Linked DNA regions of Struthio camelus. The protein of the gene in region 1 interacts with the protein of each later gene in a pairwise test. Links are inferred from orthologs where the notes say so. Each region holds a gene or a part of one and is shown in the gene's direction. Other genes may lie near its edges.

The links.
Region 2: the proteins of HIVEP1 (region 1) and ATXN1L interact in a two-hybrid assay, tested with the Homo sapiens proteins (2 studies listed by BioGRID). The link is inferred for Struthio camelus from reciprocal best matches to the Homo sapiens genes HIVEP1 and ATXN1L.

The regions. Positions count from the first base shown.
Region 1 is NC_090943.1:100,775,459-100,790,826, reverse strand, and holds the start of HIVEP1 (zinc finger protein 40), read left to right. Parts: upstream 1-9,505; 5' UTR 9,506-9,674; intron 9,675-10,459; exon of another isoform or gene 10,460-10,479; intron 10,480-11,054; exon of another isoform or gene 11,055-11,305; intron 11,306-11,381; exon of another isoform or gene 11,382-11,610; intron 11,611-11,918; exon of another isoform or gene 11,919-11,987; intron 11,988-14,023; 5' UTR 14,024-14,128; coding exon 14,129-14,168; intron 14,169-15,368.
Region 2 is NC_090951.1:438,947-454,463, forward strand, and holds ATXN1L (ataxin-1-like), read left to right. Parts: upstream 1-9,513; 5' UTR 9,514-9,593; intron 9,594-9,854; 5' UTR 9,855-9,964; coding exon 9,965-12,043; 3' UTR 12,044-14,117; downstream 14,118-15,517. UniProt on the Homo sapiens protein: Chromatin-binding factor that repress Notch signaling in the absence of Notch intracellular domain by acting as a CBF1 corepressor. Binds to the HEY promoter and might assist, along with NCOR2, RBPJ-mediated repression.

The DNA.
Region 1 (15,368 bases):
TTCCTGAGGCTCCCAATTTGTTATTAGTTACTCAAAGAGTTAATACGTCATCTCTCAAATTAATCTCCCTCAAAAATTAATCTCCCGAAAATTAATTATGTGAGATTCTTAACTTCTTTAACAGTTTTACCTTCCCATCCAGCTGTTAGCCTTTTACCACATTTCTGTTTTCCTGTTCTACCTTCCTCCTGCATTACCTTGGAGTACGTGTAGCGTGGTCGTCTTTTCCCTGACTCAGGGAAAAAATACCAAGAAGCTTCTTGAGCTGCTCATCCTTCTGTCCTATGTATAGTGTTTTGGGGATAAAAAGGGAGGGTAGAGGGGACAGAAAGAGTATCAACTTCTTAAAGAAGAAGAGCAGGAAAGAAGAGTGAAATTGCTTCAAGCTATAGGTGTTACTTCATTTTTTTTTTTTCTTCTCTTTCACTAATCAAAGTCCTCTTTTGTCTAACGGTGGAATTCTCTCTACCTGGCTCCTTTTACCCCAGAAGCAGGAAAGTGGCAAAGACAGGCAGAAGTAAGGCATAGAGATTTCTGGCAACATTGGCATAGTATTTCTACCACAGGAGAAAATACAGGTAGACACAATTAATTGACAGGAGCTGGCAATAGAGTTCCTCTTATTACTAAGCAAATATACGTGTATTCAGGAATGACTAGGCTATAATGTGGAAGAATGTGTTATACATTTAAAATAAAAAAAGAGGTGGAAATACAATGCCATTGTTCCTACTACAGCCACTACAAGTATCCCAAGTCTCCTTTAGCTGAATGGGTAACAAACACTTAATTTTCAGATGTGAAGATCTACAGTTCAGCTTCAGCTAGAGGACTTTGCCTAGAATTACAGATGATCCTTCATTTGATGTTTCACCTCACTCGCTTGAGCCTACGAAGTGCTGCTTTTCTAGGTAAGGATCACTCACTCATGTGGTGTTCTCGTAAGTGTTTTCAGAGCTTGGTGTTTAGGTCTTAGTCACTGTTTCTTCCCAATCATGAAGCGCTCAGACCAACATACTTCATTTTTTTGGTCAAGAAAAGCCAGACTCCTGCACTCTACTATTTCCATAGTAGTTTTACACGATCTGCTTTTGATTGCTTTTCGTCACTGCGTACAGCTAATTCCACGATATCAAGGAATGTTTTTGGCCTTTGTAGTAACAAGACTGGGTAACAGGACCCGGCTTTGAATACAGGGAACAGCCATGTGTGCCTCCATGCTCTCTGTGCTCCCACTGGGAACTGCTTCAGCTGGGTGCAGCAAGAGGTCGGCCAACAAGGGGAGAAGGTAGGGAAGGGAGTAAAGGGAGCTTCAGTCCTTCCTCCTCCTAACCTGCAACTTCTCAGAGAACATGTTCCAGTTGGGCAAAATAGGTAGAAAACTCAATGTCTGCCTATGCAATCTGGGAAAGGAAAAGATACTTTGAAACTTAGAGAAAAGCCACGTGGAAGGAATCAGAGAAAGAGAGAAGACAGAGAGCAGACAGATGAGCCCTGACAATGAGAGGAGGGAATGAAGGAATACGATAAAGTTAGTTTAGAAATGGAAATGGTATTTCCACGCAGCTCATTTAATAAAAAAAAAAAAAAAAAAAGGGGGGGGGGGACAGCTTGTAGGCAGCTTGCAGCGGAAAGAGGAAATGCAAAGGTGGGTAACATGGGTTTGCCCTCCATGCACCAGGCTGTGAAGCTATCTCATTTACTTTATTCTACAGTTTATAACAAGGCAGGTAAGTAATAATGCATTTGTTTTGTGTGATTAAAGTGTTATATTTGGCTTCTGCTTTGTTTTTTTGTGACTGATTTTTTAACACAATTAGAAGCAGGTTTACAGCTTAGTGTGTGTTTGTTTTCATTTAAAAGACAAGAAAGATAAGGCACCGTTGTGGTTTCACCGGAGAACTCTCTAAAGCATTAGACCCAAATGGCACTACTGTCTTGATAATGAGATTGTGCTTAGTGATGCGTTGCAGAATTGGCTCTTAATTTTTGCATGCGTTGCCTCTGGCTCAACAAAAAGCATAACCTGTGGTTTTCTTAGTAACCCCATTGATCTCAGTGTCACATTACGCGAGCTGTTTGCAGGATCAGATGCACAAAATGGAGCCTGAGATGGGGTTTTTCAGCTATGTTTCAACCTCTACTAACTTTTTTTGTTCAAGTAACGTTCACTTTTTCACTTGAAGTTTACTGCATTCAGAAGCTGAGATCACATTAAGAAAGTCAGGCACTTCACGCGTGAGCGGTCTCGCTAAGCCAATGGAATAACTCACGCATTCAAACAGTGCCTATAAAACTTGATCCAAGAAGCCTTTACCGTATGCTGTGTCTTTCTGAAAGTGCACTCACTGGCATTAGTTGGACTTAACAGCCACCCAAATTCTTTCCTGAAGATATGTGCGGGCAGAATTATCCCACCAGGCATAGCTCTCTAGAAAAGGATTGACAGCTGTGCTATACTCCTTTCCCTCTCTGCATGCTGGTGTCCTAAGCCTTCGGGGAACTGCATTGTTCTTTGTAGGCTCCTCTCTCCTATCCGTGCCGAGCATCGCTTCGTGCAGCTGGATCTTTTCATCTCAGCAGGCCTGGATTCCATGCTTGATTTCTTCTGGTGGAGTATTGACTTGTGCTCTTGTCACCCCTGCCAACTTCAGTACTTTTAAGAAGGGTGTGTGTGCCTTGTTTGGAGGTTTATGGGCCAGCCAGCTGCTCTTCCCGCCTCTGGTAGGATTCCTATAGCAATAACACCATTTGCGTATCTTGGTGGAACTATGCCAATTTAAACTGGTGGGGGAATTGACATCTTAACTTTCAGTTTTCCTTGCCTTGTCATGTAAGCTTATCTGGAAGCTTAATCGCGCATCTGTGTCAGATTCTCCTCTCCACGCACACACATGCATTTAATTCATCAGTATAGCTCTTTCACAATTTGATCAAAATATAATATAAGCTATATTTTTGTGATATACAAATGGCCTCAGTGCTTGCAATAAAGAGGGAGCTGGGGAGTGATTCACCTCTAAAGGAAATACGCTCTTTTTGTCATGCCACTTCTTAAGCCAACAGATAAGCAGCTCTGAGGCCGCTGTTGAAGCTTGGAATATGTTTTGGTGCTGCCTTTTCAGGTATCGCACTGCTTAAATAGAAGATACAGTCAATTTTTAAACTTGTTGCCCTTTTTCAGAGAAAGGGACCTTAACAACTGAACCTGAGATGCGCCAGACCCATGGCGCAACTTGCTGAAAGGGGCACAGGGTACAACTGGACCTGCAGGAGCCCAAACATGAGGCAGTCACTCCAGCCTGGTGCAAGCACCAGCTCAGTGAGAGCACATGGCTGGGTGTTGACTTCATCAACTACCTGGCATCCTTCATCCATTCTGTGAGATACTGAAACTAAAATATTCTTTTTGTCAGTGCAACTTACTGAAGTGACAAGCTAACTTGGAATCAGGTATCTTATTTGTATCACTGTTCTTCTCTTATGCCTAATTTTTCCCCTCTCTTTTACTTCGTCTAGGTATTTGTTTATTTGTGTGTGAAAATGGGCATGGGATACAGTTATGTGGATGTGATAGCATTTTGGAAAATGACATCCACAGCTTTTACAGTGTGGGCCTTGTGAAATTTTGGGACAGCTGCAAGACTGCCAAGTGCCCTGCTTTCAACATGCATTCATTTGCAAATATTTATTTTGAAATTTTCTACACTCCTCAGCACTGGGAGCCTGACACTTGTTAGACCTGTGGAGCTTTAAAAGGAAAGCTTTAGTTTAAAAAAATAGAAAGGTTTAACAAAATCACTGGCCACAGCTGGAGGAATTGATTTCTTAGAAGGCCCCACAAACAGGGAAAATTACATAGCAAAGCTATTAACAGAAAGGCAGCAAGATCGTTCAGAGCAAAAACATACATTTACTTATTGTGTGGTTGTTTGGATTTAGGGGGGACTGAACGACTTAAAATGACAGAAATATCATAGCTTACAACAGGTGCTATATGTCTGGCTTGTGATGCAACCCTTGCAAAATATGCTATGTATTCCCTGAAAGCTATTTTGCAGACAGGGAAACAGGGCTAAGGCAACCTGAAGTTTTTTTGTTGATCTGTGCCTACCAATTTCCTGTGTGACTGGCAAAGTAAATATCCCAGTAACCAGAGAAGTTTTTAGCTTGTCAGAGATTTTGAATAGAATGGCAATACTTTTGAAATTTTTTGTATGCCCATCCATATTGGGGGGAGGGGAGGAGCAGGGCACCTTTTCAGAGATAATTAAAGTAAGCAAATGAGCAAAATAATGCTAACCCTGCAACCTTTGAGCCGCTAAACTAACTTACGCGCTCAGAATGGGGTATTTTAAAAGATATTTCCTATATACGTCTATGGCAAACCTGACAGTGGAATGCCATTGAACAGCACAAATACTTCCAAAAGAATCCCCTGAATGAAATGCTTTTTAATCATTCAGATATGATAAAACAGTTACCGAAGAACTTAAACAAAAAGAGAAAGCACACCCCAGGAAACATCTTGGCAAGGTGAATGTGTTAAGTGCACGTGTTTTCTGTTTCTTTAAAAGATAAAATAAAAGTATTTGCAAAAACTGCTGGCAAACCACACTGTATTTAAATGAACTGTTTAGACCTAGAGCTACTGAAAAAGAAAGATTAGAGTGAACCAGTGAGCTGAGGTGAAGAAGATACAGTGGAAAATATGAGCAACTTTGTGCAAAAGTTCAGAGACGGCAAGAAACCTGTTCAGCTCTGTTGAGAGTAAAAATGCATCAGTGAAAGAGAGTAAAGCAGCTGTAAAACTGCAGAACCTGCTGAGTTACAGAGAAACAATCCTTTCTGAAAAGGCAGAAGCAATTTTAAATGCCAGAAGCTGTGGAAGTTGCTTCTCATGGCTACATCTACCTTCACTCCAGAGCACCGGCTCAAGCTCAAACTTGCCTCAGGTTTGGACACAAGACTGCTCAGGGCTCTGGGTGAGCTCCATCACCAGAACTGGGGAGAGAGGGAAGGGAGTTCGAGCCTGCTCAGCCCTTTAGTACAGCGCCAGCAGTATTATAGCCTGCAGTACAGATGAGCCTTTCCCAGATCCTCCATCCCATATCTTGTAATGCGGAGTGGCAACATCTCCTCCCCGAAAAGGCCCTAATGGCATGTCCCACAAAGCCCAGCTGGATGCGCAGAGAGCTGAGTCCAAGGCATTCATTGCACAAGAATGTGCTAGCCTGCTCCTTGTCCTCTACTGTGCAGGTCAGCAACAGAATGGGTACTGTTTACACCAGCCCCTGGGGCAGACTTCTGGTGAAAAAGATGGTGGTGTTTTAACTGGTCTGTTTTCTTTCTTTTTTTCTCCCCCTCTTTTTCTTCTAAGGACTTTGCCACACTGCCATAGAGAGTATTGCTGGGCAGGGAGCGTAGCCAGCCTGCAAAGTGCTAACGATGAGACTTGCTCTCGGCCTCACCGTACTTCTCTGCAGGAAGGTCTGGACTTTGCACATCTCCTATGTGCGGGTGTGGGCATGAGCAGGACACTGCGGGGTGACCAGGGCTCGTGGTACCAAAGGAGACCTCAAAGAGATTCTGCTAGCAGGTCTCCCCCACAGTGATCACTTGCTCTGTGGCCGCTCTTTTGTCCTGGAACCAGCCATGTGAAGCCTCATGTGCTGGGAGAAAAGAAAACTGATGTCAGGCTGCAGTGGTAGTTTAGGTAGAACAGGCATTGCTTCCTCCACCTGGAGGAGTTGTTGCTGGGAAAGCTCTCCTGTGATTAAATGTAGATAACGCTGCAGCAGTCAAGGCTCTTTCAAGGACAGAGAAGGACAAACATTCGCCAGAATGGTTTTTCGCATAGTATCTTAAACATAAGTACTCTCATCTGAGACATTTTGATATGATAATGAAGAATGAGGTGCAAATAAGTAGATTTGTCATCAGTGCTCAACAAGTTCACTTAATGTCTGGGATTTCAATGTCTGGTTAATAATATTTTGAAAAAGTTTCAAGTACTGTCAGTAAGTTGTGCCCTATACTGGACTTTCAGGTCTGTCCAGCTTTGGGGTCATGCACCTTTTTTCTGGCCACAGGAGTCCACTCTATTGCAGGGGCTGCCCCAGTGACTTCATGCACAGCTTTGGTATATGGGAAAAGTAAAAAGTAAGTTTGGGCCAAAAGTCTTCTACAGAACATTTTTTGATTACAAAACAGCAGTTTGTCCAAACCAGAAGGTTTGAAGAACTGAACCAATTTCTGGGACAACACAAAAACAACCCCTCTTTTGGATAGCCTTAGCGTTGGGGGCAGGACACTGCCGTGCAAGATGTCCCTCCTGGGTTGGCTGTATGCACAGAGCAGCAGGCTGCAGGGAGTGGCGTGCAGCCGTATCCCTGCTGTTGTCTTTGCCTCCGTTTGGGAAAGCATCTGGCTGTTGCTGACAAGGGAGAGATGTGAGTATCTGGGGTGACAGTTATTGCTGGAAAAAAGTGGAAAATGACGTCCCCCAGTAGCAGCGGTTGCTGCCCTATCTCTCCTGCCCCGCCTGCGGGAGCGGCAAACCCAGCTCTTTAAGGCTTTTCACTCTCTGCTTTCTCGTGGCTTCCCATTCTAGAGCCCCGTGCTGTCTGCAGCAAGAGCAGCTGGACTCCTCAGTTTTGGACTAGCAAAACTAAATTCTGTCTGTCTGTCAGAGGAAGAGCAGTCACAGGCTGGGCTTTTTGAGTTCCCTGCTGGGGACCTGGAGCCTGGCGGCTCTCAGGGCCTCCGGCCCACAGTGGGACAGGGACAGCCATGGAAATGCTCTGAGCACTAGCTCACACCAACTAAGCCCGGATCCTCAGGCTGGATCATACCGAGTGTGGAGCCCCAGAGGATGAGCGATGAGATAGAAATTCTTTTAAGAAAATTGTTCTGTTAATTCAACACAGACTATTTAAGGAGTTTCCCTTCTCTGAGAAAATTTCAACTTTTATACAGAAATAGTGCTTTGTGTGTGTGGTTTTTTTTCTTTCTTTTTCAGAACTTCAGAAGTTCCCTCAAAAATTCCCTGAAGCCTTAACAACAAAGATTCTCAGTTATGTGTCAGGGTGTAATTTTCAATATAAAAAATCTTCACATTTGATGCTCAATATAGTTAAATTTACCACAGTGCTTCACATTCAGTATATACCAAGAATCCTAGCAAAGTCACATACTATTCAACTAGAGATTTATCATGGGGTGCTTAACAATGAATTATTTAAAAGTACCTACTGTATCATGGTTTCTTGAGAGCCTAATGTGTGTATGTGTATATATTTATACATAAAATACCTGTGAGCCATTATATGCCATTTTCTGAGCACAGAGTTTCAAGTGTAAATCTAGAGGGTGTTTAAAAATAGGTGTCCTCCTGAAAATGCAGTGGAGTTTTAGAAGAAAAAAAGTCCTTCATAATCTTCCCCTTTCCAAAACACACACTCCTTTGAAGGGAAACTCTATCCCGTAGGATTAATTTTCGATGCAATTTGTGAAGTATCTAAATTCTGCTGTGCAGGATATTTTCAATGTGCCTGTTGATGTGGCATTCTAGGTCTTGGTGAAAATTTTTTAAGTTTCCCTCATTTGTAGGTTTGAGAAGATTACTATACGCCTCCTACTAGCAATCATATGTAGTACTTTTCCTGAAGTACTTTACTGAGTGGGTACGCACTTCCTTTTTACTGATGGAAAAACAGAAAAAGATGAAGCGGTCTCCAAGCTTACACAGCAAGGCAATAAACAGATTCTTACGCTATCTTACACCTGGCTTTCCCAGGGACACCTTCAAGACTGAATTTTTCTGCCCCTACGGAGATGAGCTTGCTGGAGGGATACCAAGCTGGGGCAGAGACCGCTCTTTGGACCCTCCCTGTCACCTGCACGTTAGAGCTGAGCAAGCTAAGGTGTGTGACCAGCTCATAGCTGCCTCTTAGACTGCTTCTTAAGATTCACAGTGGGAATAACCTCATGGGCCGGACTTTCAGTTCTGTTTTTTCTCTGACCCAAACTAACCTCCAGATCGCAGTTACTATGTTCAAGGGTTGATCAGCGCGCACTGATTTGATGTGCTCCATGTGTCTCTGGGGACTTGCCTCCTCTTTGACACCTCATGAGTCATTCTTGTCAGACAACTGTGCTTGTTTGCAGATGAAGGATGCCTATTATACTCCTGTGCGTACCCACGCAGTAAGAGGACTGGATGTTCATGCTCCCGGATGGGATGTAGTTTGACTTCTCGTAGTAGAAGGACAGTTTGCTCCCAGCTCTGGGAGGATTGCTGTTGCGCTTCGTGTCAACTAGCACATCAGAGCTGCTGCTTTGTGCTTATCCAGGTCCTTGCAAAAAAGAGGGGGCACCTAAAACTTCCCTCTGCACCAGCAGCAGCTGTGATGGATCCTTTTTCTCAGCCATCGTATGCAGAAGGGCATCCTCTGAAGCTTCTTTACGAAGGGGGTGACAACAGCCTGAAGCTTTCAGACAACAAGTAGAATAGGAAGGAGCAAGACTTAAGGAAAGATCAGTGGGACAGAGTCTAAAGGAGAGCTGAATAAAACAAATAGAGATGTCACTTGATCTCAGGTTTGTGACCAGTCAGATTTGGTACCTTCATTTAAGCTTACGGCACCTGCAGGGTTATATTTATATTAATGTATTCAGGTTAATGGCAATTCTGTTGCTTAACAAGTCAAAGCTCTAGACCTCAAAGCCAGGGGTAGATGTGGAAGAAAAAAGCAAAGTTCCTACTAAGAAGTTCACCTGGTTCTTGTCTAACAAGAAGGGTACCGTAATACGGTGCTCTTTGAGGGTCTGATTTTCCAATAAACCTCTAATTAATAAACTTTTGACGAAGCCTGCCTCTTACGCTGACTGCCAGGTAGCGTGCCGAACAGCCAGGTGCTTCGACGACGGGCTGCGTGCTTACTTGTGCCGTCCACGTCGTGAGCAGCTCTGGGGCGGGAGGGAGAGAAGCTTACCCACATCAGAGTTTGCCGCTATCGCGGCACACCGGTTTCCAGGAGAATTTAAGTGAGCTCAAGGGGAAAAACAGGCCAGAGGCTGTGATCTCGGCCGAAAGCTCTGTCAGAGGCGGTGTCGCGTCTGGGACGAGCTCTGCAGGAGTTACTCTGCCGTGGTGTCTGACCCGTAAAAGAGGGACAAAAGCGCTCGGCTACCTCATGAAAACCTGCAACGGTTTAAATGAGGGCAGGCGCTCCGGAAAATTCAAAAATCTCTGGCGAGAGGGGTCACGCTCCCTCAAGGCAGGCCTCGGTCGGGGGCTGGTCGGGCTGGCAAGGGCAGAGGTAGCGGGGCCAAGGCGCCCGGGGCAGCGGGCCGCAGGGGCGGCAGGAGCAGCGCGGCCGGGCCGGGCCGGGCCAGGCGCTGGCCCCGGGCGGGCCGACCCCGCAGCGCCGCGCACAGAGCAGCTGATGCAGGAAACCAATGGCGGCGGCACAGCCCCCAACCGGCAAAAACCCGCGGCCCGGGCCAAAAAAGGGGCGCCGCGGCGGAGAGCACCAGGCGCCTCCTCCTCGTATTTCCTCCCCCGCCCACTTCCAGCCGTGCAGGGGAGGGGAGGGGAGGGGGGGGATTTGCCGTCGGCTTTTGTCGCCCGGTATGAAAAGTTTGGCTGCGGCAGGATGCGCGGGGTGGCGGTGAGTTTTCCGCCGGCGGCGCCGGGGTGCCGCGGGGCCGGGGAGGGGGCGGAGGGCGCCCGCCGCCGCCGCCGCCGAGCCGCGGGGAAGCCGCCGGGGTCAACGGCGGCGGCGGCGGGAGGCACCTCCGGGATCTCCGCCTCAGCGGCTGTGTGCCTACGTGTGCGTGCCCGTGTGCCGGTGCCGCGGCCGGGCCGCTGCAGGGGGGAGCGCGACTCACGCACACACACACACACACACACACTCAGGCAGCGGGGGAAGGGGAACAGGCGCGGGGTAACTTCTTTTTTATTCGGGGTCGAGCCCCGGCTCCGTGTCCCCCCCCCGCCCCGCCCCCGCGGCTGGCGGGAGCCCCGCGGCCGTGAGGAGAGCCGCCAAGCCGGCCGGGCTCCGCGCACGCTGCGGGCGCGTTAGGCCGCGGCGGTTATTTCGGCGGACGGGAGGGGGGGGGCGGGGTCTCGCGGCGACCCCAACGGCGCGGCGCGGGGCCGCTTCCCCCCCCCCCCGCCCGCCCCCAACCCGGCTCCGGAGCCGCGCCGCGGGAGGGAGGCAGGGAGGGAGCGCCGCGTGTGCGTGTGCGCGACGGGGAATAACGTTGGCGCGGCGTTTGTTGTGCTCCGAGTTTCGCTTCTGTGCCTCCCCCGCCGGGCGCTGAGGAAACCCCCTCGGTGACCCCTCCCTCCCGGCTGCCTGACCCCTCCCCCCCCACCCCCCCGCCCCCGCCCGCGCCGGCAGGGGGCGGGGCCGGGAGACCCGGTGACGTCACTGCTCCGGCCCCGCTTCCTGCAATAGAAAGTGAGAGAAGGTAAAACACCCCCCGCCTTCCCCTCCCCTCCCCCCCCCGCGGCCGGCCGGCCCCGCGCCGCCGCCTCGCGCCCCTCCCCCACCCCCCCCGCGGGTGACCGGGGCGCGGGGGGGAGGGGCGCGGGGAGGAGAGCGGAGCGGAGCGTCTCTCCCCGAGGGGAGCCCCGCGGGCGCGCCGAGCCGGCCCGTGCCTCCCCGCCCGCCCCCGCCCAGGGCCGCAGGCAGCCCTCCCGGCCGTCCCCCTCCCGCCTGTCAGCGGGGCTCCCTCCCCCGCCGCCCTCGTTGTTCCCCCCCTTCCCCCTGCCCCGCCGCCTCGCCGCGGGGGGAGGGGGCAGATCCCGCGGGGCGGGGGTGGTGGGGGGGGGGAGCGGCGATGGTCGGGGCCGCGCTGGACCCGGTGTCGGGGGACCCGCTGGGGGGGGGAGTTCAGGCGGCGGGGCCCGACTCCCGGGGGGAGCCCGGGGGAGCCCCGCGGCGGCGGCGGCGGCGGCGGCGGGGGAGGGGTCTGCGCAGAGGGGGCGGACGGACGGACAGCGCTGCCCGTGGGTGACGGGGGGCTGTGTGGAGAGGGGCAGTGCTTGGGGGGGGGGGCGGCGCCTGGGCCGGGCCGGGCCGGGGGGATGTTGCGCGCAGGAGGGGTGTGAGCGTGTGTGCGAGGCGGCGGCGGCGGCAGCGCAGGGTCATGTTTGTGTTTGAGGTTGTCAAGTGAAGGAGGCTCCCTGCCGCCGCCGCCGCCGCCGCGCAGGGGTCGCCGTGTTTCCCGGCTGCCGCCGCTGCTCCTCGCACCCGCGCCGCCATCAGCCGCCGCCCGCCGGCCCCTCCGCCAGGTTTGCAGCGGGGTCCGCGGCGGGGGGGGGCGCGTCGCCGCGGCCTGGCGCCCCGCGGGGAGGGAGGTGTTGGGGGGGGGGGGCAGGCCGGGCGCCTCCTCGCTTCCTCCTCCTCCCTCCCCTTCCTCCTCCTCCTCGGCGGCTGTCTGCGCCCCCTCCGCGGGGAGCTGCGGCAGACACAACACAGCGTGTCCTGCGGGCAGCGGGGAGGCGGCGGGCGAGGCAGGCCCGGCCCGGCCGCTCTGCCACGCGTGTGCGTGCGCGCCGTCTCCTGCCGGGGTGCCCGAAGCCCCCCGCCGCCCCAGGTAGGCAGCGCCGCGCTCGGGCTTGTTTGCTTCCCCGTGCTGGGATGGCGGGGGCCGGCGGCCCGGCCCGGCCCGGCTCGGCTCGGCCCGGCTCCTCCCGCCCCGCCGCGGCCGGTGGGTGCCGGGCTGCAGCCGCTCTGCTCCCCCCGCTCCCCCGCGCGTGCAGCGCTTTGTTCGGCGCAGCGTTGCAGAGGGGTTTTCCCAGGCTCCTCCCTCTTTATTCATTCATGCTTTTTTTTTTTTCCCCTCCTCCCCTCCCTCCCCCCCCCCCCCCCGCTCTCTTCCCTTTCCTCCTCCCTTTGCAACAGTGCTCGCACATACCGACGTTTCACGGGTCCCTCGGGCTCTGCGCTTGCAGCCGTCCCTCCGCCTGGTCGGTCTGTTCCGTAGTCTACGGTTTTTTTTGGCGGGGGGGAGGTGGGATGGGGGTGGAATGTGACCGCCGTGATTGCGGAGGGCTCGTTCTCTCTTTCTCTCCTTTTTTTTTTTTTTTTTGATTATTGAAATCAAGGAGGCAGCGACTTTACGCGGGTCTCCTACAGTATTTCTGCTGTGGCTTTCGTAGGGCCATCCCTCTGCAAAAGCATACTGCTGGTGACCAGGTGGAATAGGTAGTTTTGAAGCGTAAATAAGATGTCATTTGTGCTGCGAGGGAGCATCAGGAGGTGCTTACGACTTACAGATATCTGATGCGTTTCAAACCCGTCTGCTTGAAATAGCTTACCTAAGTGACCGCGTTTATTATTTGTGAGGATGTCAGCACAAGACCCAGGATTCCCAGCAAAACAAAACAGGGCTTCGGAGGTGCTTGTTGCTTCAAGTAATTTGGCCGCTGCTGCACACTTAGAGTTTGTGTCTAAGACTAGAAAATTGGAACTGTTAGCGTAAGATTTTTTTCGTTTTTAAATCTTTCTGGTATCTTTGCAGATGAAGTGATATGTGTGAACAACTTGACAGCCCTCTGTGTGGTGTTCTGGCTTTTTTCTTGTTTTCCCCTTAACGCGATAATATCCTAGTAAAGAACCATTAGTCAGAAAAATATTTGCCAGCCTTCCTTTGTGACAGCGCTACTCAGTTTCTTCTCTTGAGTCTTTTATGCAGCAATAGACAAAAGAAACGTTAAAAATTAATGACTATCTTCCTCAACAGTCTGTAGACTGGAGGGGAGGTTGTAAGCAACAGTCTATTTTGAGTGGTTTTGAATTCCGCTTTTTCAAAAACATTGTTGTCTGTATTAGAAATGATCAGAACTCTGAGTTAATACTTAAATGATAGAAGGCTCTACGTGCTTCCTATTTCGAGTAGTTATCCTTTGTCAATGTGCCCATGTTAAGGGCCACTGTATGGTTTATATACATTTAAAAAAACTTATCCTGGTGTTGATTCAAAGAAAGCTCTCAGTCGGGGTTGGTATTACTATGAATAGTAAGCGAGTAGTGTTGTTTGGCCAAAGTAGTGGAATCGCACTAGTCATTCTTCTTTTTAAGTTCTTAAGTGCAAGTGGCTCACTATAGTTCAGAGGGAGATTTCAGTACAGGAAGATTTCAGAAGCTAAACAACGTACTCCTTAAATGGGAAGTAAATCATAAGCATATTTAAAAAATAATACACTTTGTTAATCTTGAGGGGGGGAAAAGTGGAGGTTTGGGGATGCAAATTTAGGTTGGTGCCCCTTCAGTAGAAAATCTGTCCATTAGGCTGTTAAAAGAATTCCATCTTCCATGAAGTTCATGCATACTTAGACTTTGCTGGCTGCACCGTTGTGTAAATGCAGGGACTGCTGCATGCCGATACAGGAGCTCGCTTTGCAACGACTTGCGCATGGGTCTAGAGCTGGTGTGAGTCTGTGTTGTAAATTGATATTTCAGTAGAGTCCCCTGGGGAGCTCTTCTGGACTTGTTACAATTGCACACTTCAAGTAAGGATACTGTGGAGATGGCTGATGTTGCAAATGGGAGAGATGATTGCTGATGCAGCATGTGTTTGCCCTTCCCCTCCCTCCCCTATCCCCCTCTATACAAATGAAGATCTGCTGTTTTAAAGCCTAATGTGACTGTTTTGTTTTGTGAGGTTTGGTTTTTTTTTTTTTTTTTTTTTTTACACAGGACACAAGTTGTTAGAAAATGTTTTCTGGCTAGAAAACAGCTGACAAATGTGGAAAAATGTCTTAGACTTCTCGTGCCTCCTGAGTAACCCCAAAAGGAGTTTGACCCTCATTTAATTTTCTTATAATGTTGGAACATTTCACTCTGTGCAGGATAGGTATAGAAGTTTTTATTGCTTATCACCAGTTCCTGTAGCCATTTTAGGATGAAAGAGAGCAGACAGATATCTTTGATTTTCCTTATTATGCATACATCTCATAACTTTTATCTCTTTCTCTCTCTTTCTTTTTTTATTTTTATTTTTTTAGCACATGGATTAACTGACTCCTTTGACAAGTTTATGGAACTGCCAGCTCTCTGCTTGCTCTACTTTTCATTTCTGAGGAGAAAGGGGTATATGAAATTAGAGGAAAATGCCTCGGACAAAGCAGATACATCCCAGAAACCTGAGAGGTATGTAGCTCTCAGCTAAGAAGGAAAAGGTCTTGGGAAGCTCAGCTGCAGTTTCAGTTGTGAAATTAAAGGAATATGTACTGAAGAAGTTTGTTGTGGTCCAAAACTATTTTACAAACAAGCTTTAGGAGTAACCTGCGAGACTACTGTAATTTTGAGGGAAATAAGGAGAAACTGTTCTTATTCCTGTAGTCTGTGTGCTTGACAGCACTCCTGATATCCAGCTTGTGGCAACAACCAACCTCAACTTTGAAAATGCAAAGGAAGACATAGTGTCCTTACCAAATAATAGGCAATTGAAATGTACAGAGAGGTGGGAAATGTGTGTAATGTGGAAGCAGCATGAGATTTGGCAGCTGATAGTTGTTTTTCTTAATAGTAATCAGTTTGGCTTGCTTTTGAGAGGATCAGACTCTTCCCCCACGCATGCCTCCCTTGTATTTGTCATCTTCATCACCCGTGCTTCCTCAGCAGTGTCTGGGTTTGACTTTAGTCTCCTCACTGCCCTGCCTTTGCACAACTCAGTAGCAATTTGTTGGCTACAGAAAGGGTCAAAGACGTAAATGACCTGGTCCACCAACTGGCAAACTTATATGTGCGGGCATTTCCTTGAACAAAATCCCAGTGCACTTACCAGAGCTCAGGATTGGCAGATGCATGTGAGGAGTCTGATCATATGATTATTTGTAACTCTCTTGGTAGTAGCAGCCCTGGAGGAATTAAATGAGGGAAAAATACAGATTAGTTCAAGAGCAGAAATAAATACCAAGGGAGAACGTGCCTTCCCCCACCCCCCGCCAGTGTGTAGTTGTCATCAGTTTTTTTAACATGGATTTCACAGTTGCAGTGTGTATGCATCTCTTTAGACAATAAAAGCTATTGTAAAGCTGCAAATATTGGCATAAAATTTTGGGGGCAGGAACAGTATTTAATTCTATTTTTAACTTTTAAAAAAAATAAATGGGGACATGGAAGAAAAAAGAGAAGTCAGCCAGCACCCAACAAACACAAGCATTCGTATACTTTTTTGCGTTTCAGTGAAAGTTAAAAGGCCCTTAAGCGTACAGTATACAGCTGTATCAAAGAATTTGCGTATGTGTACTGTGTGCCAGTATTACTAAGAATCTCTATTACTGAAGACATTTGTGCAGCGTCTTTATTCAGAAAGTGCTGGGCAGTGTTACTCAATGTGGTAGTTAA
Region 2 (15,517 bases), on another chromosome or scaffold:
TTAGGTTCCTAAACTGAAGTCCTCCTACATTGAAAAAAAAACTTTTACCCATACCATGCCTGCCACATCACACTTTCTCTACTGCTTGACTTAAACAGCTCCTCACTTCTTACAATACAGAGCAATGCTAACCACATGCTGATCGATATTTTTCACCTCCTGTATAAAAGTTTAAATCATTTAAAGAGCAAACAACCTAGACTTTGACTATTCTTTTTGGCCAAGGCTAACCTTAAGAGTCACATACTGCCAACAACTGCAGCTCTTATGTCAGTGACTACATCAGGTGACAAGCATGATGATGGTATTGACACAGGGTCTTCTGAGTAAATTACCAGACAGGGAAAAAGCAAGCCAACAGGTACTACCAAGGAAGGTACTACCACTTACATTCAAAGACACAGCTGCACGCACAGCTCAGACACATTTGGTGAAGGGGGCCACAGATGTCTGAGCAGCTATTTTCATGTCTAGCTCTGGGAGGGATAAACAAGCAAAGGTTGGCAGCATAGGTCTTGCGGTCATCAAGCAAACCAAGATTCACAGTTGGTAGGGGTCAAGAAAGTCAGTCAGCCTAATTCCAAGCCATCTGTGCCAACAAATCAAGTTTTGTGCAGGTATCACAGGATTTGCTAAAACATTTTTCAGAACCTCAATTTCACTTTTTTCTTAGAAGATAACTCCTTTAGCTTCATGAGGTCCATATATTGTTACACTCAGCCAAGGTGACCCAATGAGTCATCAAAAACACTTCCTGTACGATCCCATGTTCCTCTGGATGCCTCCTATTCAGGGGGCAGACTGCAACTTAATTAATAAGCCCATAAAACTGTCATTTAAAGTAGCATGACTGCAGGCCAGAGGCATGCATTTTGCAGACTTGGTGGAAAAAGCCATCAGAAGAGGCAGAATGGAAGCAATGAGAAAGTTAAAAGAGTATTCCTACCAGATGCGAAGCATTAATTTATGCAAGCTACCAAGTACTTTTAATGTTGGTTATAAATCAAACCAGTAGGTACTTGCAGATCATAATGCACAGCTAAGAAAAAAAAAAACTGCAAGTGAAGACTGCACTGGCTCTACTTTTCCTGTTCTTTTCTAGAAGAAACACACCTAAGCATCCTCCCCTCCCTTCAGTCAAATTAGCTTTAAGCATTCCTTGTATATGAATTTTTCTAGCATTCTGACTGATTACAGGAAAAGAGTAAGAAATAAAAACAATTCTCAGGTACACACTGCCAAGCAATCCACGACTGGAGACTAGGCTCACTGAGCGCACTGACAAGCTGTAACAGAAAGGGCACAAGGTCTCTCATGTCCTCCATGGATATACGACTGGCACTCTAGGAAGCTGCAGCATAGCGAAAGGCATAAGAAATGGAAGAGGGCTCCAGCAAGCCCCCAAAGATGCTTTGACAAATACTTATGATTTTCTTGATCACACGGACAAAGAACGGACAACACACAGCACCAGAGCATGCCTTTGCCAAAGCAGTGACACGGTAATGGTATCAAAATCCCACTGGGACTTGAAATATGACCATGCAGATTTCACTAAGAGAAGGAATTAGAGCTATACACCACTGAACAGATTATTAATGAGGGTTAGAACAAAAAATACTAAAAAATTACAAGACCAAAAGATGAACGGGATTAAAGAATTTAGAGCTAAGAACAATTAAAACTTATTTAGTAACTGATCTACTCATTTTTGACTACACAATTTCTGTCTTGAAATCAGAATGTCTATGAAGCGTTTGAAAAATTTAAGTCAACTTCAGGTGACAACTACAAAGCAATCAAATACCAAACTGTCAAGAACAAAGAATTGTTAAGTGCTTCTCTATGTTACAGAAATGCATTTTATTGCACAAGATGACTGACTTACTAGCAGAGAGAGGATAAGCACGTTGTCTGGGAATAACAGACTCCAAGTTTAACTTCAGCTGGCTAAAAGCAGTTGAGAACTTCCCTCTAAGTAGCAGGTCTTGTTTTTCAGGATTAGTTAACATGTTCCCCCAGTACAGCCATATGTGTTTATTCTTTACACATTAATGTAAACGACAAGGCAAGTTTTAAAAGTAATTATCTCTTTCCTCATTTTGCTTACATCAGCTGTGTTCCTCTGCCTTTTCTTTACTAACTGCAAGCTCTAGAATTTAGGGATGGTCCCTGAATACCTGGAAAGAAACTTGCAGTTAATATTTACAAAATCTGGTAGGGTCAAACACAGACTTGATGAGGTGGAGGATTTTTATTTTCCTCTTCTCATTTCCAAGGCCTTACATGCTTTTGAGTAACCTACTGTCAAGGCCAGACTGTTCCGAAACATGGTGCCTTTACAAAATAAATAAATAAAATTGGGGGAAAAAAAAAAACCACACACACACACCTTTTCTCAGCTTTTCCTTTTACTCTCTGGATGTCATGAAAGGTGTTAACTCAGTTATCTTCCCTCTATTGTTCATGAATTCTTCCCCCAAACAAACAAATAAGGCTTTCTTTCCTTACCCAACTCATCTTATTAAACTATGCACAAGTGAAAACATTATCATCAGGAAAACAAAAATTAGAATATAAATATTAAAAACATTTAGTGTAAATGGTTATTTTCTCCCCATTATATAGTCTTTTAGTACTTCAGCATGTGTTGTTTCAAATTTTCAGTTTTTACTCAAGAGGTCAGCATGCCAAAGAGATTTAACTATAGAATCTTGCTAAAAATTTCTCTTAGAGCACCATAATACTCAAATACAATTGATAACCAAATACAATTGATAACCAAAATATATATTTATATATATATAAAATACCTCTATTAGATATTACAGTTATGACCTGGATGAAGGGACAGAGTGCCTCCTCAGCAAGTTTGCTGATGATACTAAACTGGCTGAGGAGTGGCTGACACACCAGGAGGCTGTGCTGCCATTCAGAGGGACCTGGACAGGCTGGAGAGTTGGGCAGAGAGGAAACTCATGAAGTTCAGCAAAGGCAAGTGCAGGGTCCTGCACCTGGAGAGGAATAACCCCAGGCACCAGGACAGGTTGGGAACTCAAAGCAGCTCTGCAGAGAAGGACCTGGGAGCCCTGGTGGACAACAAGTTAAGCATGAGCCAGCAGTGTGCCCTTGCAGCCAAGAAGGCCAATGGGATCCTGGGCTGCATGAGGCAGAGTGTTGCCAGCAGGTGGAGGGAGGTGATCCTGCCCCTCTCCTCAGCCCTGGGGAGGCCTCACCTGGAGTACTGTGTCCAGTTCTGGGCTCCCCAGTGCAAGAGAGACATGGCACTGCTGGAGAGAGTCCAGCAGAGGGCTGCAAAGATGAGGAGGGGACTGGAGCATCTCTCACGTGAGCAAAAGGCTGAGAGAGCTGGGCCTGTTCAGCCTGGAGAGAAGGCTGAGGGTATATGAGATGTATTGTATACAATATGAGATGTATACAAGTGTCTGAAGGGAGGGTGTCAAGAGGATGGGGCCAGGCTCTTCTCTGTGGTGCCCAGCGACAGGACAAGAGGCAACGGGCACAAACGGAAACACAGGAAGTTCTGTCTGAACACGAGGAAGAACTTCTTTCCTGTGAGGGGGACAGAGCACTGGAACAGGTTGCCCAGAGAGGTTGTGGGGTCTCCTTCCCTGGAGATATTCAAAACCCACCTGGACATGATCCTGGGCAACGTGCTCTAGAGGACCCTGCTTGAGCAGAAGGGTTGGACTGGATGATCTCCAGAGGTCCCTTCCAACCTCAACCATTCTGTGATTCTGTGATATTTGCAAGCAGCATCCGAAATTACCAAAATTCCACATGTAAACAACTCTCAAGTGCTTCAGCTAAATTATATTCATCTACCAGGAACCGTATGTAAAGTTAAAAGGACTTACAATCCTTAAACATTCAATTAAGTTGAAATCCTACCCTCTGGAATGTATTTAGAAATGTCAGCATATCTCTAAAAATATTGAAATCACACTTTCAATATATTAATGAAATGAACAGCCTTGTTAAGCAACTTTTTTTTTTTTTCAATGTAGCAGTCACAAGCATTTTTAAATTCCATTATTATTTACTCTTGAATTCTGGAAGCAATAAGGCATAAGACCTGCTGAGGCTCCTGGAATTATTCATAAAACAGCTTTACCATTTGAGGAAATGTTTCTCAATTGCAATCCAAACGAGATATATATGCAGTTAATAGAGCCTCCTGAAAGTAGTATTTCTGAACTCGGCTCATTCTAAAAAGCAACCCAAGACTGCAGAAGCATGTATTTTCAAACAAATCTAAAATAGATGAATTAAGTTGCTGTACCCCAACTCATGCATAAGCAATCGTACTCCTCAAGCAAAAACAGACTTTCGGAAGTTGCATAATTAAAGCCTGACCCAGCTCCCACTGAAATCAGTAACAGAACTCCCCCGCTTGCTTCAGTAGAACTGAATCAAGCCTCCTGTGCAGAAACGGAAAGACATGCCTAGACTGTACGAGGGGAGTAACTGCAACAGTTAATTAAAATTGACTGATGGCCTCACCTCCACACTGCTATCAGTATGCTTCATTCTACGATCAGACCCTTCAAAAAAATTATATATTGACAGTAAGGACAGAAGTGCAAATACATACTACAAATAGGGATTAAGTTGTGAAGAAAAATACTAGAGCTACTGGTACATTGTTTAGTGCTATCAATATTTATACAGGAAATGGTAAACACGCAACCAAGGAGCATGGTCACCATCAAGAAGGGCAAAGACAACAGAAAGAGTTAACAGGAAAAGCAACCAATCATACAACATTAAAAGTGGAAAAATAATCGCTTTTGACAAATAGCTATTTCATGGAACAGAGAAACTTGTAACATGGAAAATAAGTAACATTGAGAAACCAGAAATAAACGGGGAGGAGGGTGTTAAAATACAGTATGATAATAAAAGGCAAAGTAACACGCGTTACACAAAGATAGCGTGGGGGAAAAAACGGAAGAAAAAAACCCACCTAAAAACAAAATCTGAGAAACAGTGTCAGAGAAAGCGACGGTACTATTTCCAGTTACTTTTAAAATCAAGAAACGTAGCACAAGAGTATTCCAGAGGCACAAGCCATCATGCTGTTCAGAAACTGAGGGGAGAAGGAGAGCGTCTCTGGCCCTTGGAAAAGTCATCGCAAAAGTTATCCTCTAACGCCTACCAAAAGAGCAAATAAGTATGTCCTCTTTTTTAGAGGCTAACAAATCAAGGGATGGGAGAAGAGTTAACAAGTCCTACACAGCTGATCAGTGTGAGAGACAACATAGATTTCCTGGTTCCTGTTCCTATACTTCAGTCATGTCTGACCTGCATTACCTCTGTCTTTCTCATCTGCTTCCAGCATCCCAACTATCTTTATCTGTAAGGTAATCTGGTTATTTTATTTCCTGTTCAGTCTCTTGCAGACTTAAGATTTCCAAAAAAGAAATAAAATCTTTTGTTTGCTACTACATTATGGAAAAGAAAAATATTTCTTTACAGAGTTAATGCCAGATGAAAGATGAGACATAGCTGCTTTTTTTTTTTTTTTAAAACATGCATTAACACAAACTCTGTGATATCTTCAGGTAACTTCTCCCATGTCCTAGGAAGTTCTAACCTTAGAGTTCACCTCGAGCATCTCTGCCAAACTGCAATTAAGGCTAATAATACTATTTGTTATATTAGCAGAGATTCATTTGCGCGCACGCTACAGTAACTCTGACTTTTGAGTAATAGCAACCTGGGCTAGATTTAAATAAGACTCATCACATATTTACTTTATTAACCTCAAAACCCTCATTCAATAAAGTAATACTACTACCTCATCCAATAAAGTAATACTACTACCAAGGTAGATTAGACCCCTTTCCCCAGAACACGCCAAAATATCACATAGAACAAATTAATATCACTTTCAATCAGAAGAGCTTTTTGCCCTGTTATTAAGAACACAAGCAGCCCATCTCCAAAACACATTCTGAAGTTACATACATTGCCAACTCAATAATAAGAACATAAGTATTCAAACAAAAAGAGGCACAAGAAGCTTTTCTGAATGAGCGCTGCTTGAAGCAGCTAAGGTTTTTATTAGCCTTTGCACTTTGAAAGCCAGCTTTCCAAACCTGAACTGCATTAACCAGCGCAGTCTCTGTCTGCATGCCTCAACAGAGACCTTCGATTCCTGTGTTGCCGCTTACAACCTTTCTACACCATCGCGTGTCAAGCTTACTGATATCATTAGTTTACACTGATGCTAATTCAAAGCTCTGTGCACAAAGAAACTATCAAGAATCAGAACATCTTATCTTCCTTAATCTCTGGCCAGGACACAGCAAGAAAAGGTACTGAAGGACCTGTCCACTTTTACTGTATCAGCTTTAGAAAAAAGTCAGATTAACAGGAGTAGTAGAAGAGAATGTTCTTCTTTCTATGAAAAGGAGGAGGAAATCTAAAAGTTATATTATGCACAAAGAAAGAAAAGCTGGATCCCCTCGCAAAAGAATCATCCCGTCCTTTCTTTCTCCTTCTTAACACACAGAAATTTAAATACCTTAATTTAAACACCTCCTTCCTTCTCCTGCCATGGAAGGAAGGAGAGAAACCTACACTGCATGCTGCCTCAGAAAAACGTAATCTCTTGCCTTTGCTGAGCTCAGGTATCCAGTAAAGTTTTCAAATCCCATGCCAAATACTACAGTGCGCATGAGCGGGCAAAAGAAAGAATTTGGCAGCAGAGTGGGACGTGCAAATAAACAAAAGAAAAGACAACCAGTGTAGTTCAGACAAAGCGACAAGAAAGGAAGTAGGCACGTGAAAAAACAAGAGATAGACATTATTGCAGAGAAGCAAAACAGAATAAAGAAAACTAACAACACTACCTGTGAGGTTTTAATGTAAGATTCTAAGGCACTGTACAGGAAAAAAAGTCTTTTGTTCTGTTTAAGCTAATAGGTGTCAAACACACTTTCAGGCCTTGCACGTGAAATGCCACCTTTCCAAAGGGTTTCACCAGGATTCCATGCCGTTCTGTCAATGATTCAGGCATCAGAAACGAAAATCCATCACTAAGCTTTTTTTAAAAAATTATCATTTACAATGCAACAAAATACAAAATCATTCTGTCTGCAGACTTTCAAAAGAATGCCTACACACATCAAAAAGCGTCAGAAAAATATAGCTAGTCTTATGATTCGAGAGAGGAGAGAAGGGGAAACGGAGAACTCCAACCCTCAAGAAGGGACGCGAAGCTGTCTTTAGTAACAGATTTTTGAGCAGTATTCTACGACCAGGGCAAACCTATACTTGTACTTGCAATTTACTGTAAATGCCTCTGGCCAAAAACAAGACGTTTTTGCCTCTATTAAAACTTATGCAACTGTAAGAGTACGTGCAAACACCGTCAGAATGACACAGAGAAACTAACTGCAACGCTCCGGGCCGCTGTGCAGCACAAGTACTGAAAAAGCCAGAGGAAGGCCGGAGGCAAACGTCCGAGCTCCTTCCCAGGCCCCCCGGGCCTCCAACGCGAAGCCACGCCGTGTTCCCACCGAGGGAACTTCCTCGGCGTGTCTGCGCGCTCCGCTGCGGACAAGTTGCGCAAGGAACCCCGAGTCCCAGCGCCGGAGGGGCGCGGCGGGGGCAGCAGAGGGGTCGGCAACGGCTTCCGAGCAGCAGAGCGAGCGAGCGCGCGAGCGCGGCGCCAGCGCTGTCCGCCGCCTCGCGGGGCACCGGGCGGCCCGCAGGGGCCGGACGGGGGGCGCGGGCAGCCGGCCGCGCCGGGGCCGGGCCGGGCCTCGCCGGCGGGGGCCGCGGCAGGGCGGAGAGGCCGCCGAGGCCGGTGCCGGTGCCGAGCCGCGGCCCGCAGAGCGGGCAAAGCCGGCGGCGGCGCCGGGGCAGGGGCCGCTGCAGGCCGCGGGCACCGGCGGCGCGGCGCGGCCCGGCGCGGGGACCGGAGCAGAGCAGAGCGGGCGGGCCCGGGCGCGGCAGCGGGCGGGGGTGGGGGGCGGCGGGCGGCGCGGGCCCCACTCACCGGGCCGGTCCCTGGAGCGGAGACGGCGGCGGCGGCAGGAGCCAGGCATTCAAAATGGCGGCGGCGCGGCCGCAGCACCGATACCGCAGGCGGAGGGATCCGCGGCCCGGCGCTCTGCCCTCGCTCTCCCGGCCGCCGTCGGTGGCGGGGAGGGCCGCGGCGGCCTCAGCGGCGGCAGCGGCCTCAGCGGCGGCGGCGGCGCAGGACCGGCGGCGGCGCGGGACGGGCTCCCGGAACTACTTTGCTCGGCGGAAGCATCCGCGAGACTGTGCGTTCGAGTGAGGCGCGTCAGCGCGCGGCCGTCACTGATGACGTCACGCGCCGGGGTAGTCCCCCGCGGCGAGCGCGGCCCCGTGGTGCGGCCGGGCGGGTCGCGCTGCCCCGAACGGAGGTTCCGGCCGCGCACGCGGGAGGGCGGAGCACGACGCCCCCGCGGCCGCCGGCAGCGCGCACGGCCCCGCCCCGCCCCTCGCGGCAGGCTGCGGGCTGTGCCCCGCCCCTTCCGCGTGTCCCCGCCCCCTCGCGGCGGGCTCTGGCCTGTGCCCCGCCCCTTCCGCGTGTCCCCGCCCCCTCGCGGCGGGCTCTGGCATGGGCCCCGCCCCTTCCCCGGGCCCCGCCCCCTCGCGGCGGGCTCTGGCACGGGCCCCGCCCCCTCGCCGTGACTCCGCCGCCCCGCCGGGGCCGCCAGCCGCGTCCGCTCGGCGCTGGGCCCGCCCCGTCCCGTCCCGTCCCGGGGGAGGCGAGCACAGCTCGGCCCGGCCCGGCCCGGCGCAGAGGGCCGCCCGCGGCTGCCGAGATCGTTCCCGAGCTGCCGGTTCCCCGCGGCGCTGCCTCCAGCGGGCGCTGGTTTCCTTGTGGCGGCAGCCCCGGCAGAGGCGCGGGCCGCGGCTCCCGCTGCAGCCCGGGCAGCGGGGCGGGCTGGGCAGTAAGCACCGCGCCCGCGGAGCGGCCACGCTTTGTCCCGGTTCGCGCTCCGGGAAGAGGAAGGGTCTGTGCGCACCCACGAACAGGGGCCCGGGAGGGGCCCTCGCCGGCCCTAGCCTCCAGGTCGCCGCTGTGCGGACGGAGGCGCCGAACCCCGGAGCCAGAGGAGCTTCGCAGACGAGATACCGCGGCAGAAGGAGCCGAACGAGCGGCCCCGCGCCCTGCTCCCCCCCCGCGCTCCCCGCAGAGAGCGGCGCGCGCTAAGGGAGGACGGGCGGGGGCCGCGGGCCGGGCCGGGCCGGCAGCGCAGCCTGCGGCAACGAGCGGCCAAGGGCGGCGGCGGCGGCGGCGGGCCCGGGAGCGGCCCCGGCGGAGGAGGGCGGTGGCGAGCCCGGCAGCGAGGCGACACGCGGCCGCTCCCCGCCCCGCCGGCACCAGCGCTCCGGGGCGGCCTCAGCCGCCGGCGCCGTGACGTCACGCCGGCCGCGAGCGCCCTCACTTCCGGCGCGCGGCGCGGCGCGTCATCGCGGCGCGCGGCGGGCGGGGAGGGGTCGGGCCCGGGCCCGGGCCGGAGGCGGCGGCGGCGGCGGGCGGCGCCGGGGCCGATGGGGGCCGCGGCGGAGGCGCCGGGCGATGGCGGGTGAGTCGCGGGCCGGGCCGGGCCCCGGGCGCGGCTGCGGCATCCCGGCTCCGCGGGCGGCGGCGGGGTGGGGCCCCGGCCCCGGGGGTGGCGGCGCCGCCGGGCCGGGCCGGGCCGGGAGTCACGGGCCCTCCTGCCGCCGGGGCCGCGGCTCACCGCCCCTCTGCTCTGGGCGCCCTGCCGGGAGCCGGGGCCGGGGCTCCCTCGGTGCCCGGCCCGGCGGGGGACCGGGGCTTACGGCTCCCTCTGTTCCCGGTGCAGGTGAGGCGGCAGCTGGCGGCGGGGATCCGGGAGCTGGCGTGTGGCGGCGCCTGGGGGTGCCCCCATGAACGAGCGTCGCGGCCGGGCCTGCCGGGACACCGTGTGGCGCCATGAGAGCGGGCCACGAGCGGAGCCAGGAGTGCCTGCCGCCCAAGAAGCGGGAACTGCCTGCTGCCAGCGCGGGTGCGGAGGCAGGGCGGGCCGGGGGCGCCCAGGCCTCGGGCGAGGGCCCCGAGTGGGGCCGGGCGGCGGGGCCGGGCCCTGCGGCCCTGCGCTATGGCCCTGGCGACGGCGCAGAGGCCGTGGCGGGGCTGACGGTGGACCAGTATGGGATGCTCTACAAAGTGGCGGTGCCACCCGCCACCTTCTCCCCCACGGGCCTGCACCCCGTGGTGAACGTGAGCCCCTTGCCCCCGGCCTTTAACGTGACCTCACCGCTAATCCAGCACCCAGGGGTGCCCTACCCTCCCATCCACTACGCGCAGATCCCCCCGACGTCTCTGCAGTTCATCGGCTCCCATTACACGGTGCCCTATGCTGTCCCTCCTGGCTTCCTGCCTAGTCCTCTCCTGTCTCCTTCCACCAACCTCACCACCTCTCACGTCCCTCACTTTGTGCCATATGCCTCTCTCTTCACGGAAGAAGCCGCTCCTTCCCCCCAGACTACCTCTCCTACCCACACCTTCAACAAATCTGCTTCTGCCATTTCTCCTTCTGGCCAGATGCAGCACCATGCTGGGACCCAGCCGTTAGATATTGCACCAGGTAGAATTCCTGTTTATTATCAGATGTCCCGCCTCCCACCAGGGTATTCGGCATATGAGACACCTACAGCAAGTGGAAGCCCAGATCCTCCTCAGCAAGACAGTCAGCTGAGTTCAGAGGCAGTTGCCGCCAATGGTGGACAAAGACATCTGGAGCATAACGTGGTGAGGAGGACCAGTGAGGCTGTGGACTCTGCCGGCAGTAAAGCTGAAGACTGTCTGCCAGGGACTGCAGTGGGATGTGTGGTCGATGGACAGTTCCTTTCAGGTTACCAGACTTTGAGAACAGAGGTCTCTGTGCCAGCTCACAGAAGCACCCCAGACACTGATCTGGAGGTTCAGAGGGTGGTGGGGGTGTTGGCATCTCAGGATTACCATGTTCTGGCAGCCCAGAGGAAAGATGACCTGAGCCCTATAAACCTTTGCCATAACATCCCTGATCAGCAGGGGGAGTCAAGGGATGTTTTGAGGAGCACGGTGGAAAGGGCTGCTGCTGAGAAAAGCCAGTCCAGGAGTCCATATGTAATGTCCCCTGAAGAGACGGTTAGACAAAGACAATTAACCAAAGGAATGGTGATAGCCAACGGCAAGCCAGTCCTGGTGCCCGTTGTGTCTGAGCCCATCAGGTCTTCCTCTTCAGATACCCTGGTGAGGCAGAGCCCAGATGCGCAGGCTCGAGGAAGCATGCTTGAAAAGGAATTGACCCAACTGCAGCCTCCCAGCTCCTCGCACTTGCCCTCTCACTTCATGAAAGGAGCCATCATCCAGCTGGCTACAGGAGAGCTGAAGCGGGTAGAGGACCTGCAGACTCAAGACTTCGTTCGCAGTGCCGAGGTGAGCGGGGGCCTGAAGATCGACTCCAGCACCGTGGTGGATATTCAGGACAGCCAGTGGCCTGGGTTTGTCACGTTGCATTTTGTAGTTGGGGAGCAACAAAGTAAAGTGAGCATTGATGTGCCCCCAGAGCATCCCTTCTTTGTGTATGGCCAGGGTTGGTCCTCCTGTAGCCCAGGGCGGACCGCTCAGCTCTTTGCTCTGCCCTGTCACAGGCTGCAGGTGGGCGACGTCTGCATATCAATCAGTTTACAGAGCATGAACGGCAACTCTGCTTCTCAGGCTAACTACCCTCTCACAGGTCAGTTGATATCTACTCGAGAGAGATCTGAAAGAACAGCGCAGGGGTCCAGAGAACCACCTGACAGAGCTGCTGAAAGGAAGAGCCACGCAGAAAGGGACAGTGCAGCCCAGGGCTCTCATGCAGAAACCTCTCAGCCTGAGACTGGCAGTCAGCACAGCTGGACAGCCCCGGGCTTCCAAAGATACAGCACGCAGGCAGAGGAGCCTCGGCCGTCTCTGCTCCGTCCCTCTTTCATTCCCCAGGAGGTCAAGCTGTCTATTGAAGGGCGTTCTAATGCAGGGAAGTGATCCCGTTGAGGCTGTGAGCTAGGGCGTGCCCTGTGCGTGAGCCTCACCTTCATCAGGTGGAGAAATTGCACAGACTTTGTGACAGGTTCACCAGCAAGGCTGCTCTCTGCCCTGCAGAACTGGATTTACTCCAGTTTGGTCGCTGACCAGATCCTCTTGGGGAATCGAGAGGGCTCCAGTGCCTCAGGGAGCAGCAACAGGCTAGTTGGGGTAGAGAACGGGGGATGTGCTTGAGAGCTTGTGACAAGAGCATTCCAGAGGTTGGGGCTTTGCACCTTCCTGAATACCTGGTTCCCTGCAGGGCAGGGTCTGAGCATTCAGGATAGGTGGGGAGATGAGAAGGGCAGACACAGCTTAAGGTAGCAGATAAAATTGCTGAAGATTTTATTCCTCCTTTCTCATGATGGGGAAAGATGGGTCCCCACTGGAGTTTAGGGGGCACTACTCCCAGTATCCCCTTTCTTCACACATGCACTTTAAAAGGACCGTTCACCGATGGAGCTCTTGAGGGCAGGCTGTAGAAGCTTCTCTGGTGGTTCTGTTTAATGTCTCTTCCACTGAATCCAACTGTTCTTTCTTCTTGCAAAGAATCTGCAGAGATCTGCATGAATGACAGAAATTGGAGAGGAAGGACCAAAAGGATGGGTTTGGGTGCAGGTGAATAGGAAACTGTGGAAAAGACTTGAGCACTTGGGATGGGACATGAGTTGGGATGAGAGATGTCAGTTTCCTGCTAAGAAATACATTCAATTATTTGACACCAAATCAAATCTTTCTTCCCATGTTCATACCCCTTTAAAAAAAAAACAAAAAAAACTTCTCTTAGGCCTAAAGCTAAACCACACTCTTCTACTGTGAGGAGACTGAGACTATTTTGTAATTAAATCAGGAGAAAACTTTCCAGATGGCTAATTCTTCACTGCAGGCAGTTTCCTGAATAAACTCTAGAAAACAGACAAGTGTTTGTGCATGTGCAGGCAAGGTACAAAGCTTCTCTTAATTACAGTTCCGTGATTGATATAGGGACTCTAAAAATATCACAGCATCACAGGGCATTTTTAGGTGTTTTTCTGTTAGTTGTTCTGGTGCTTCGCTTTGGAGTTCCTCTATAGAACAACATGGTAAAATCGAGAGTAGTCTCTTTCACGGTGAGATCGAATCAAATGCATATTAATACCTCGTCATGGTAATAACACTCCATTCAAGCAAAGGTTCCTGTAGTTACACTAATTTGCCCTCTCTGACAGCGTGTTATGACACCAACTCTAAATGCTTAGCTAGAATTAAAAAAAAAAAAGTCACTGCTATGTTGAGGAGAAGGGTCTTCGCTCTGACTTAACTTGGGTTTAAGTATTCCTTGTATTTAAGGTGCCCGGCTCTGTACTAGGACCATGCTTGCGAGAGGGTGTTGGGTTTCTTTTTAGCGTGCAGGCCCCCACTAGATTCCTGTTGCTGCTCCTGATGTTTAGCATCCCATTTGCTGTCTCCTTTTTCTCATCTTTCTGAGCTTTTCTGTCAGGCGTGCCTAGCTGTTAGGGCATTGCTTCTCTCCTTGCGTGGGCGCCCTGTGTGTCAGCACCTCCCGTCTGTGTCACTGTCCTTCTGCTGAGCTCGTAGTGGTTTTGTCTCTCGCGACTGTTCTGTCTACTGTGCAGAAACGTGCCCTGGAACTGACTGTGTGGCAAAGGGGTGCTCTGCTAATTAGAGAGTCTCCAGAATGTTCCTTCCCTCCAGGGCATCAGGCCTGTTGTCCTAGCATGCTGCTAGCTGCTTATGTTGCCTTTGAAACGCCTGCGCTAGAAGAACAGTTTCCTTTCAGGTCTTAGTTGAGATGTGCTCTGCTCTTGCCTTCAGTGTTTGTGCCTCACAGGGTTTTTTCCAGAGTGAGGATGCTGCCTGTATCCTCTGTAGCTTCCCCTAAATGACGCGCTGCTTCCAGTCAGTCTCATCAACTGCATGTGGGAATGTAAAGTCACGGTGACGTTGTCATGTGAAGATTCTGCCTCCTTGGATGCAGCAGCGGTGGGAACAGATATTGTTTTCATGGCACTATTTGTCAGTAAAACATACTGTCTGGGTCCAGGTGCCTGGCCGCATCGCCTTCTTCCTTATGTGTCTCTCCTTTGCTACTCATTGGACTCTCCTACGCAAAGACCTCAATCAGTGTCGGTTGGTACATAATGCTCAGGCTATCCGGGATGTCCGTGGCCACAAGCAGAAAGCAAAGGAGCCCACGTTCTGTTGCCTGTTCTTTGCATGGTGCATGCAGAGGAATTCAAGGCTGTGGCAGGCAGCTGAGAAAGGGATCTTACCTGTGTATGGCGTGTGAATGTGGAAGGGCTGGTTGCATGCGTAGAGGGGACTTTTGAGCATCTGAATGGTGCAGAGCCTCTCGTGTGCCTCTCTGAGCACAGAAATCTCTGTCTGCTAGAGAGAGGATTTGGAGAGCCTGCCGTATCTCGTGTGTTGCTGTACCTACTAGTCATAGATCTCAGCTGCACTAATCAGTGGTCTGAAAGGGCAGACATGACACATGAGACAAGTTGCTGTGAGGCTAAAGTAACTTTGTACCCTAGGCAGCTGAAGGGCTGTACAGGTGCTCTCCCTTGTTTTCACCTGGCCGCTGGCCTCGGCTGTGGCCTCTCTGTGCGTCGGTTGGGGAGCGCGGCTCTGAGCTCTGTAGAAAAGGCCGGGGTGAGTTTGACCTTGGTGCTTCTGCCCAGTCTCCTTGTCAGTCCCCTTGTGCATGGTTCAGCTGCCGGCTCCTCCGTGGCAGCAACAGTTAGGGCACATCTCATGGCGGGGGTATTGCAATGAAGAATCTGGGCACCTGGCTGCTTGCCCCAGGGGCCAGAGGTGAGAAGGGAGCACTGGAGGTCCTCCGGCCCAGCTTAACCGTACTCATAATCACTGGAACCCGTCTTTGCTGGGTTGGGCCGTGTTGCTTCAGCTTCTGTGGTGAGGGTTGTTGCATCGAGTGTTCAGGCTCTCCTGAGAGAGGGAGTGTGTGAGACAGCCTTTCTGCTTATAGCAGAGCCTATGAGTGAGCCCAAGGAGGAGGCTTTTATTTCACTTAAGTTTACAGGAAAAGGAGGAGATGAAACTAAGAAGACATTGTGGAATGAGTGGGTTATCCAGGCTTTTCTGCTGGCAGAGATGTGACAGGCTACTTGGAGGAATGTACCGTTTCCCTGCTGCTATTGTGAAAGGAGGGAGAGCTGTGGTCTGTCCTACCTGGAGGAGGGAACCTCCTGGCCTTGGTCTTCTCTCCAGCTCGCAGGGAGGCTGCGAGAAGAGTCTGTAGGATGCAATAATGAGTATCTGTAACCATCTGTTCCATCTCGTGAAACATTCCTTGGGTCAGCTGCCCAGCAGAGGCCAGGCCTGTTTCTAGGCTATGTGTACATTGTTCCTCCAGGAACGTGAGACTTGCTCCGAGTGACGAGCACTCATCACTACCAGACTATGCAGAGG